Callithrix jacchus: one gene and its partners. The main gene of each other region encodes a partner of the protein of the gene in region 2 in a complex. Links are inferred from orthologs where the notes say so. Each region holds a gene or a part of one and is shown on either strand. Other genes may lie near its edges.

Region 1 (4,026 bases), on a different chromosome or scaffold from region 2:
GAAGTGACTTTACGTACACACACACATATACACACACATTCTCTCTTTACTCTTCATGCTCTTCTGTCTGCCTACTATTTATGGAAAAATCATGAGACAACTTGATGAATGTGTTATTTTTTTTAATAGAAACCACATCACTTCATATGTTACAGTATGTAATTCAAGAGACCCCCAGAAAGTTTTTTCATCCACAAAATAATAGAAAGGATGAGCTCCCTTACCACCCAGGGAGTTTTGAAATAAGACCTCCCTGGAAATTCCATGCTGCGGTTGATGTTCTACCTACTTTTCCTTGTTTTCAGTCTTTGGTTCATTTTTTTGTTTTGATCTCTATTCTCTTACCACAATGACATGCTGCTTCCAGAATGGAACTCTGTCTTCAAGTTTTATACTAGTTAAGAGGCCAGTCTGTCAGCTTGCCTTAATATGTAATGGATGTCCTAATTTAGCTGAGGAACCTGGACAAGTCTTCCTTGATTTCAGCTTCATCCCAAGGCCCATGAATGTTTTCTTTAAAAAGCTGCAAGCGAATGAGGTAGAATGGACAGAGACATGAGATAGATACCAGCAGAAGGGCAAAGAGTATGGCTCCCACAGCACTAATGGACAGTAGGCCTCCCAAGGCTGAAAACGCAAACATCAGTGTGACCCCCACATAGCTCCGGGGAGTACATGCCTTTAGTTTCTTCTGTAACATGGGCCATAGGGCAAAGATCTGAATGGCAAATGTCACCATGATGAAGGCATGCAGGGAGCGGGGAAGGCGTGATGCCAAGCATACAGAAGCAAAGATGGCCATGTTCAAGGACAGTGTGCTGGATACAATGGCAGCATTGGCACCATAGTCAAAAAAAATGAGATGGCCTAACAGCATGAAGACTGACATGGCATAGATGGTGTCAGTGCTGACAGACTCTGTCAGGGTCTTTAGCACTGGTGAAAACCCATAAGTGAAAGTAATGAAGACTAGGGCACTCTTCAGGTCAGCCCACCGTGTCTGCCCACTCTTCCTTCGCCCTTCACCTCCATCAATGAGATCAAACAAAACATACCCAATCAGTGAAGAAGCCAGGCCAGCCCCAAAAAGCCAATGGGGGGCCAAAAGACCCTCATCCATATACCACCAGATAACTACAAAAACACAAACACTGCACAGCTGTTGGATCACCACACTGGACTCAAATACCACAGCCCAATATTGGTATTTCCGAGCGTGGATGTTTTTCCGAAGCTCTTCCAGGAACCGCCGGTCCACATAGTTATCTGGAAAGGGCTGTCGCTCATACAAGATCTTCTGCCACTTGACCTCCTTGGTGTTAGTTACAGGTTGGGCACACATTATCCTTTCATTCAAACTCAGGCCAGTTTAATCACTGCCCTCACAGAAGTCCGGGTGGTTCCTGTTCTCTATGAAGTTTTGAAATGAGACCTCCCTGGAAATTCCACGCTGTGGTTGATGTTCTACTGAACTTTCCTTGTTTTCAAAGGCAGCAACCCAGGCTAGGCCTACAACAGATGAGTTTGTCTCTGAAGCAGGACAACACAGCCAGGTTCCTAGAAAAAGAGAGACTGTGAACCTATGAAAGTTGTGAAAGGTCAAGGGTAGTACTGAGTTAAAGCCAAATCATTCAGTTTACTAAAAGTCTGAGCAAAATGTATTTGGTAGTCACCTTATCAATTTGGGATATTAAAACTGCATTTCAGATTTGAAAATTGTAATTCCTTGAATAATAATATGCATCTGTTAGCTATCACTTATTGAGTGCCTACTATGTGCTAAGTGCCTTATGTATCTTCTTTCACTTAATCCTCACAACCTTGCAAGTTAGTATTAGTCCTGCTTTAGTAAAAAAGCTGAGATTCAAAATGCTTAAGTAACTTTGCCGTAAGGTAACAGGGCGGAGCCAGCGTTCAAACCAGTCTTATCCCAAAGCCTGTGTCTCACATTGTATTTCCCTCTAAACCAGTTCATAACTCTCTGGTTCACATACCCCTCAGGTATATCACATTGCATGCTTATATCTGCATTTGTGTAAATTTATAGGGAAAATATCCATAGCTTTTATTGGTTCTCAAAGGCATGTTGTTTATATTTTTTAAGTTACCGATCCAAAGACAATAAATAGTAAGCTGCACTATACAGAAAGATACGAGTGCTGCAGTTTATTTAGCCAAAATCAAAGACTCAAAGAAACTACACTTTTCTTCCATTAGCTGAGCTTAGCATACTTTAAAGAGCTATCATTCTACTCAAAACGGCGAAACTCTTGCGAGGATCGAAGAAGATAATCATCCCTTTTTCACAATGGGAAAACTAAGAGTCAGCAACACCACAGCCATCTGGCAAATCAGAGGAAAATAATTTCATAAATGCCCGACCTAACTTCTTCCATGAAGACAAGTGCTGCTTGGCAAGTCAGACACCATTATTCCTCTCTCCGCTGCGGGGATCCCAGCCCAGGAATTTCAAGGCTATCGCCGGGGTTGGAGGGTCTGCGGCGCCCAAAAGGGCAGCGCCCGCCGGCAAAGTGGAGTTGGGAGGGGACAGGATAGGATAGGGTGACCCCAGGGGCGTGCCATCACTCTCCAGGTCTCCCACTCCCGCCGCCGCCCCTCACCCAGCCTTAGGCCTGCGGGGGACAGCAGAGGAGAAGGAGCCCCGGAAACACACGATTACGTGGAACCCACCTGCCCGAGAATTCCTGGGGATGCGCAGCTGCGGGGCGGCGGCCCTCAGACTTTTTCCCCCTCCGGTGTGCCGGGGCTGCGACTGTGGCCGAGTACTTCCGGGTCCTCCGCTATCTCCTCCGCGAGGGTGCCCTTCCCCAGCTTGAGCCACCGCGCCGAGGCTGCTGCCCTCTCCTGGCTGCTCAGAGACCGCCAGGCTCCCCTCCTGAAGATAGGCCTAAACCCGAACGCTCTAAACTTAGGAAAGCAAATCCCCAACAATCCCCTACAGCAAAACGGGATGTGCCATCTGAAGGGCTGGGTAAAGCAGGAGAGGGACAGGAAAAGAGGCTGGGCCAGTAGGTGAGAGATAATGGCCACTTCCGTTGCGCTCCTTTTATTAAGTCAGGCCCTCAGCTAGGGACTTCCCTGCATGCCTTCATTCCACAGATACTGGCTGAATGCGTGCAGGTAGCAAGCCCTGTTTGTGATGCTCACGATGCAGCCCTGAACTAAACACAAAAACTGCTGCTCTCATGAAACTCTCTTTTTTGTGCATTGATCTTTACACTGATTATATCATCTCCCCTCTCAAAGAGGACAAATCTAAGGCTTAGATAAATTGTATTTGTCCAAAGACAGGCACCTGGGAAGTAGATGAACAGAGATCAATATCCAGTTGTCTATAGCTTCGAAGCTTGGTTTTTCTCCTCTTTACCTCCTAAGAGGGGTGAGGAGAAGACTGCTAATTCAAGTGAGTTCATGGAAATATTAAAGGATGTATGAACAGATGGAGGTAATAAAGAAACAAAGGGATGTAGTAAAACACAGGTTACACTGGAAACGAAAGTTAGAAAACATGACCCATTTACTAGCTCCATGACTGAGGTCAAATCACACTATCTGACCTTTGATTTCTTCATCAGTAAAATGGAGATGACACTATTTGCACTTGGTTGCTTTATGGGATGGCTAAAGAGTTAAATATAAAATATAAAAATGTTTTGTAAAGTGTTTACTATATGGTTCCTGTTAGCTGACTTTGGCCATCATAATGAGAGCAATGCTCAAGAGTGATACATTCTGTAAACATGATCTCTATTTCCCTCTAGGCTTCTGTTCAAAAATTTGACAAGATTCCTTGGCTTAGTGAGGCCAGCCTTGTAAACAAGCCATTAGTGCTCAGCCTCCCCAGAAGGTAACCTCTCAGCCACTGAAGGCAAAAGTTTTATGAAACGTCTACAGAAGATGATTTCGTCTTACGGGATGGGGACAGTTATCAGAGGGCACATTTGATCCATTGGGAAACCCAAGTCAAGTGCTTTAAAAGTAGAAATATTCTGGGTTTCTCAGATG
Region 2 (4,163 bases):
CCTGTAAACCCAGCACTTTGGGAGGCCGAGGTGGGCAGATCACCTGAGGTCAGGAGTTCGAGACCACCCTGGCCAACATGGTGAAAACCCATCTCTATTAAAAATACAAAAATCAGCCAGATGTGGTGGTGGGTGCCTGTAATTCTAGCTACTCAGAGGCTGAGGCCGGAGAATTGCTTGAACCCAGGGAACAGATGTTGCAGTGAGCTAAATTTGCTCCACTCCGTCTCAAAACAAAAACAAAAACAAACTACGGGTTTGTTTCGAGACAGGGTCTCGCTCTGTCACCCAGGCTGGAGAGCAGTGGCATGATCTCGGCTCGCTGCAACCTCGACCTCCCAGGCTCCAGCGATCCTCCCGCCTTGGCCTCCCAAAGCACTGGAAGTGTGAGCCAACGCGCCTGGCCTAAAAGCGTTTTAATCTGTCCACTGAATTGTTGCCCCCAACAAACTTTGTACGAAGACAATTACAGAAGCTGGGCCAAGGCCGAGCTTTTAGTGGAGAAGGGGTTTTGTCATGTTGGCCAGGTTGGTCTTGAACTCCTGGCCTCAGGTGATCTGCCCACCTCAGTCTCCCAAAATGCCGGAATTACAGACATGAGCCCCCATGCCCAGCCTGGATAATTCTTAAGGGCCCTTCTAGGACCAAAGTTCTGGGAGTTTCTAGCTTATTCTGCCCCCTCGTAGCCCTTGGCCTGTTTCTCTTTATCCACATGCAGAAACATCTGGCAGCCCCACATGGCTGAGTTGACCTGGGTCTAGTATGCCCTTGGACGGAAGACTAGCCTACCTAGCAGGTGACCTGGATTTTTCTTCCTGATCTGCTGCTTCCAAGTTGTATGACCTTGGCTAAGTCACTTCACTTTTCTGACTGTCACTTCGCTTTTTTTTTTTTTTTTTTTTTTGAGACGGAGTTTCGCTCTTGTTACCCAGGCTGGAGTGCAATGGCACGATCTTGGCTCACTGTAACTTCCGCCTCCTGGGTTCAGGCAATTCTCCCGCCTCAGCCTCCTGAGTAGCTGGGATTACAGGCATGCGCCACCATGCCCAGCTATTTTTTTTGTATTTTTAGTAGAGACGGGGGTTTCACCATGTTGACCAGGATGGTCTCGATCTCTTGACCTCGTGATCCACCCGCCTCGGCCTCCCAAAGTGCTGGTATTACAGGCGTGAGCCACCGCGCCCGGCCCCACTTCGCTTTTTAATGAAGTGTATCTGGTGAACAAGAAACGTTGTTAAAACACATGACTCACCATTCAAGAGATGGGTCTGACCATTCCCTTTCTCAGACTCAGACCCCAGGAGGGCTCTTGGCGCGCAACTGAGGCTGCGCGGGCTTAGGGGCGGGGCGTGGTGACGCGACTGCCGGAAGCGGGTCTGGAGCTGGCGAGGCTGGGAGAGCAGAAGAACGCGGTGCAGTGCGGGCCGCCTAGTAGGGGCAAGCCAGTCATGGAGGATGAGCGGAGCTTTTCGGATATCTGCGGCGGCCGCCTGGCCCTGCAGCGCCGCTACTACTCCCCGTCCTGCCGGGAGTTCTGCCTCAGCTGCCCTCGGCTCTCGCTGCGTTCGCTTACGGCTGTCACCTGCACGGTGTGGCTGGCGGCCTACGGACTCTTCAGCCTCTGCGAGGTAATGGCTGGTCGGCCCCTCCGCTCTCTCGGAGGAGGGGGTTCGGCTTTGGGAGAGTCTCTGGGGTCTTTGATCGAGCCCAGATCTCTGGTTGGCCCCTCCTACAGTGGTAGGACCAGAGGGCGGGAACTCACGGGTTTTGGGGACGCCACTCCGATGCTGGACAGCTCTTTAAATGATGTTTGGTGAATGTGTGCTCCTGGAAAGTACATTTCCCCTCTGTGTCTGTGCTCTGCTCGGTGGGTTCACCCAGCATACATCTAGTTCTTGCACGATGGTCTAAAACTTTAATTTCCACGTGTTCTATGTAATATAGGCGCGTAGTAATTTAATTCCAAGAGTTCAGGGAAGTAAGTGGGTCTTCCTCGTCTATCACTTCTGCTCCTCAAAGGCAGTGCTGCTAACAATACCTTATGTAGTTTTCCACAAACTGTCTTTGCCTCCACAGTGTACACTTGTGTAGCTGTGTGTATAAATATAGTGTTATCGTTCTTCCTAATCTGTTTTTCAATACAGTTTAACCCTCCCTCCTCCCAAACTCTCCCCCAATTTTAAGTACTTTCTAAAGGATTTTGAAATTTTGGATGTGTGTGGTATCTGTGCTCAATTTCCAGATTCATTCCTGTTTTCTCTGAGCCTCAATTTTCTACATCTCTAAAATAGAATTAATGCCTGCCATACCAGCTTCATGATATTGTGAGGGTTAAATGCAGTAACTTTATAACAGTTCTCAAATAAAAAGAATTATCCTAATTGCCTTTTCAGGCTGAGTTCTAGTTTCATATGTAGTGCCTGAGTTGGATGTATTATCCCTGAAGTGATCTGATCGGAGTTAAGTACAGCAGGGCTATTTATTTCTGTAACTTGGATATTGTTTCCATTACTGCATCCATTAGCTTTTTTTTGCTGTCAAAGCATATTTCACAGTATGGTAATTTAGCATAGAAATATGCAGAATTAAGACTGCCCTAATTGTAGTAAACTATCTAAAAGTCTGTTCAGTCAGGGTGCAGTAGCTCATGCCTGTAATCTAGCACTTTGGGAGGCTGAAGCAGGTGGATCACTTGAGGTCAGGAGTTCAAAACCAGCCTGGCCAACATGGTGAAACCGTGTCTCACTATGTATTTGTATTTTTATCACCATGTATTTTGTATTTGTAAAATACAAAAATTAGCTGGGTGTGGTGGCGCATGCCTGTAGTCCCAGATACTTGGGAGACCGAGGCAGGAGAATCACTTGAACCCAGGAGGCAGAGGTAACAGTGAGCGAAGATCGTGCCACTACACTCCAGCCTTGGCGACAGAGGAAGACTCTGTCTCAAAAAAAAAAAAAAATTTGTTCATAAGTCAGTTAAAATGATGATTAAATTGATTTGACAGCACCCCCAACATTTAAAATATAGTATAGTTGAATTTTAGTACTAGCCTGAGTTGTTATAGCCTATGTATGTGGTCATGTGAGGAGGAGGAGGAGGAAATAGATATTTATTAAATGCCCACTGAGTGCCGGATGCTTTACTAAATTCTTTACTTCAGCCTAGAATGAAGAAAACCAAGGCTTACAAAGAATAATGATTACCAAAAGTCTCAAAGCAGTAAATGGCAGATCTGGGCTTCAAACCCAGGGCTCTTTGACTCCAAGACCCTTTTTTTTCCTTTATACCATTGTATAGCTGATCTTAGGCAAAATTTAAAAACAAAAGCCTGCTTTTATGCCAGGTCCCCTCTGTACTTATGTCTCTTATCCTGGTGTACTCTGCTCACCCCTATCAAATGCCCGGGATTTAGTGACCTCATCTTCCTTTAAACTCTACTGCAACACTTCCTAAGGGCTCTGTGTGCCAAAATTTCTTACCTTTCCTATTCAAAACTTTATGAGAGTAGTGCATATCTGGAATGAGAAGAAATCTGATTGAAGGAATTCATTCAAACATACAGCTTAATACCAACTCAAATGAATATTGAATTGTTTGAATTCTATACAGAAAAATGAAGTAAAAAAATGCAGGTAGTAATGAAGTTTTAGGCATGGATTGCTTTCACTGGAAAACTGACGTGGATCAAATCCCTAAGGATTTACTGTCCTTAATCCCTTCATGTTTTTGAGTTCACAGTTCTATTAAAGTTCCAGGTTGTTCCCTTGTTTATTCCACCCTGGAATGTTCTTCTCCCTTCCCTTTCAACTAATTAGATTGGCCACTAACCACCACCTCCCCTGCACCAATTAAAATCCTATTTCCTTGGATGTGATGGGATATATTCTTGTGTGTTTTTATATCTTTTTCTTTCTTTTTTATTTAAAAAAAAAAAAAAACTTTTCCTTTGGTACTTGTAGTCAGTATCAGAGTATCCTCCAGAATATTTTCTATGTATTAATCTTGCCTTTAATAAATCTGTAAGGGTTAGGGCTGAATTGTATTCCTCTCCATTCTTCATAATGCTTATTCAGTGCAATTAATCTTAATTGCAAAATTAGATCTTTTTGGATCATCAGAGAACCAGTACTGAATCCTCCATTCATCAATCAACACATAGC
Region 3 (2,544 bases), on a different chromosome or scaffold from region 2:
CATTTTCTGGACTCTGGCCCCGCAGGACCGGGAGACCGGAGGCCAGGGGAGCCGCGTCCCACATCTGCCCGACCACATCGCCAGACTACGGGAATGGCTTGAAGCGTTTTAGGTTCGCCACCGGCTGCGCAATGCAATCACCCGGGGACCGTTTTAAAAATGCCGATTCCCCGACAGCCCCCAAGACCAGCAGACTCGGAATGTCCGAGGGATGAGACCTGAACATTTGTATTTTTTTTTTTTTCTTTTTTCCTGTTAAGAGACAGGGTGCTCCTTACGTTGCCCAGGCTGGCCTAGAACTCCGGCTTCAGCCTCCTAAGGAGCTGGGGGATACAGGCGCCGCCCCCACTCCCAGCTTATTTGTGTGTTCTTAAACGACCCCGAAATGATTTCTAAGGTATAACCAGGTTTATGAACCACTGCGATTCAGGACAAGGCCAAAGCCTTCTGGTTTTTAAGCCAAGATGATGAAAAGTATTGTTGTACCCTCCAGATTCTTGTGAAGGTGTCGTGTACAACTGGTGCCTGACAATCTTAAGCATTTCACCTGTGTGTGCTGCCCAGTGGCTCTTAGTTGTGGACTAGCAGGTTTCGTAGAAACCTCTTTAACCTAGTTTTTGGGAAAACAGCTCTACAGTTTCCAAGCTACCAGAATTGAATATCAACAACATTAACACTAGTATTACAAATCGCATAAACTAAACACCAAAATGTTATCAGGGACTATCTTTGAATGGTAGATTGCTAGCAGTTTTTTCATATTTCTTTTTTTCCCATAATATTATTCAATTTTCTCAAACCTTGAAATTACTTGATTTGCCTTTATAACTAGCTCACCGCAGACTCACTGCTTTCCAGTGTTTTCTCATTTCTGCCCTCTCACCTTTTCCAGTTATTTCCTTCTAATGGATTAGTTAAGTTTCTCTATTTAGCATTTATTCTAAAATGAAGAAGTTGATTTTTCTCTAGTGTTTGTTCCAGTAGTAAATTTACAGAGATGGTTTGAGGGTTGACCGAAGTAGTGAAGGAATATTTGGGTAAGAGGGGGATCTTTTCTGACTACTATAAAAACGAAATTAAGGAATAACTTGTGAATAAGGCGAAAAAGAGAATATGAGAGAAACCGACTAAAATGGGAATAATTATAGATTCTAAGAGAATTTTTTTTAAGATAAAAGGTTGAATTGGCTATTGTTGCTTTTAGAATTGAAGAAGACTACTCTGGGATTAACTAACTCTATACCGAGAATTGGATAAATGGTGGTATTTGTTGAAAATCAGGCTCTTCAAGCATTTTATTTTTCACAATTCATTTTGTTCTTTTTTTTTTTCAACCTCAGATATGAAGCATCAACAAATGAATTGATTAATGAAGAATTGGGAATAGCTTATCCAATCATTGATGGGATTCCTAATATGATACCGCAGGCAGCTAGGATGACGCATCAAAGTAAGAAGCAAGAAGAACTGGAGCAGCGCTAGTTCATAATTAAAAAAAATAAAAAAAACCCAACAGCTGACTTTTCTTAATACCGTATACCTTTTAAAACATAGTGGAGGGTAATAATTGGAAGAGAAGAATGTTTATGTCTCTTCCTACGTTGACTGTTCTTATTCCACTGGTTTCTTTAGCAGGACTGTTCTACTCGGCCTCTGTGGAAGAAAACTTCCCACAGGGCTGCACTAGCACAGCCAGCCTTTGCTTTTACAGTTTGCTCTTGCCTATTTCCATACCAGTGTATGTATTCTTCCACCTTTGGACTTGGATGGGTATTAAACTCTTCAGGCATAATTGATGTAACTAGTGTCAATATGCTATATTTATTAATAATAGCTCTTGGGCATCTATCTCTGAAAGCTCAACTGGATGGAAGTTTGCAGGAAAGAGGCTTTGCTTTGTGTATATCAGGCTTAGGACTGTGGGAGACTTAAGTTGCAGATGCTTCTTTTGTTGTACTCTTGCTCTGCCCTTGTGTTTTGCAGGCTCTGACTTATAACTGCTGTATCAGAGAAAACATTTTGACAGTGTCTTGTTGGAGATGAACATCCCCAATTGTCATGTCATGAGTATTTCTTATTCTGTTCATCTAAAAGTTATTGAAATTTTGTTTTGCTTGTTTGTTAAGTTTAAGGTCTTTGGTAAAGTCACATGTTAGGAATGACTGAAATAATTCTAAAGGAGTGATGTTGAAATACTCTCTCTAAGGGAGACAAATGCATTTGAACAAGTGTGATATAAAACCATATCATCAAATAGAAATTTCAGGTACTTAACAGAAATTAAGTTTGTAAAATTACCTTCATTTCTTTGACATTAACTGCTTATATTAGCAATAAAGATGTTGACACTTTACCATAAAAGATGAAATAAACCAGTTTGCAGTAGTCATTTGTTTGGTCACAGAAGTGTGATTGATACAAAGGGAAGTTGTAAAACTGCACTAAACATAGGCTGTGTTTAGAGAGGTACTTCCTCTCTAGAATCATTTCCCAGGAAAGTGAGGGGTCGAAGACTTGCAAGTAGTAGTTTGTACCCTTTTGAGC

The links. The genes of interacting proteins can lie anywhere in the genome.
Region 1: PIGH (region 2) and PIGC share a complex: the UniProt entries of both Homo sapiens proteins name them as parts of the glycosylphosphatidylinositol-N-acetylglucosaminyltransferase (GPI-GnT) complex. The link is inferred for Callithrix jacchus from reciprocal best matches to the Homo sapiens genes PIGH and PIGC.
Region 3: PIGH (region 2) and PIGY share a complex: the UniProt entries of both Homo sapiens proteins name them as parts of the glycosylphosphatidylinositol-N-acetylglucosaminyltransferase (GPI-GnT) complex. The link is inferred for Callithrix jacchus from reciprocal best matches to the Homo sapiens genes PIGH and PIGY.

What each region holds. Positions count from the first base shown.
Region 1 is NC_133519.1:30,306,165-30,310,190, reverse strand, and holds PIGC (phosphatidylinositol N-acetylglucosaminyltransferase subunit C), read right to left. Parts: upstream 2,801-4,026; 5' UTR 2,692-2,800; exon of another isoform or gene 2,383-2,691; intron 1,581-2,382; 5' UTR 1,343-1,580; coding exon 449-1,342; 3' UTR 106-448; downstream 1-105. UniProt on the Homo sapiens protein: Part of the glycosylphosphatidylinositol-N-acetylglucosaminyltransferase (GPI-GnT) complex that catalyzes the transfer of N-acetylglucosamine from UDP-N-acetylglucosamine to phosphatidylinositol and participates in the first step of GPI biosynthesis.
Region 2 is NC_133509.1:102,593,116-102,597,278, reverse strand, and holds the start of PIGH (phosphatidylinositol N-acetylglucosaminyltransferase subunit H), read left to right. Parts: upstream 1-1,363; 5' UTR 1,364-1,448; coding exon 1,449-1,628; intron 1,629-4,163. UniProt on the Homo sapiens protein: Part of the glycosylphosphatidylinositol-N-acetylglucosaminyltransferase (GPI-GnT) complex that catalyzes the transfer of N-acetylglucosamine from UDP-N-acetylglucosamine to phosphatidylinositol and participates in the first step of GPI biosynthesis.
Region 3 is NC_133504.1:109,148,143-109,150,686, forward strand, and holds PIGY (phosphatidylinositol N-acetylglucosaminyltransferase subunit Y), read left to right. Parts: upstream 1-1,482; 5' UTR 1,483-1,580; coding exon 1,581-1,796; 3' UTR 1,797-2,044; downstream 2,045-2,544. Other genes in the region: PYURF (protein preY, mitochondrial), read left to right, coding at 1,336-1,482. UniProt on the Homo sapiens protein: Part of the glycosylphosphatidylinositol-N-acetylglucosaminyltransferase (GPI-GnT) complex that catalyzes the transfer of N-acetylglucosamine from UDP-N-acetylglucosamine to phosphatidylinositol and participates in the first step of GPI biosynthesis.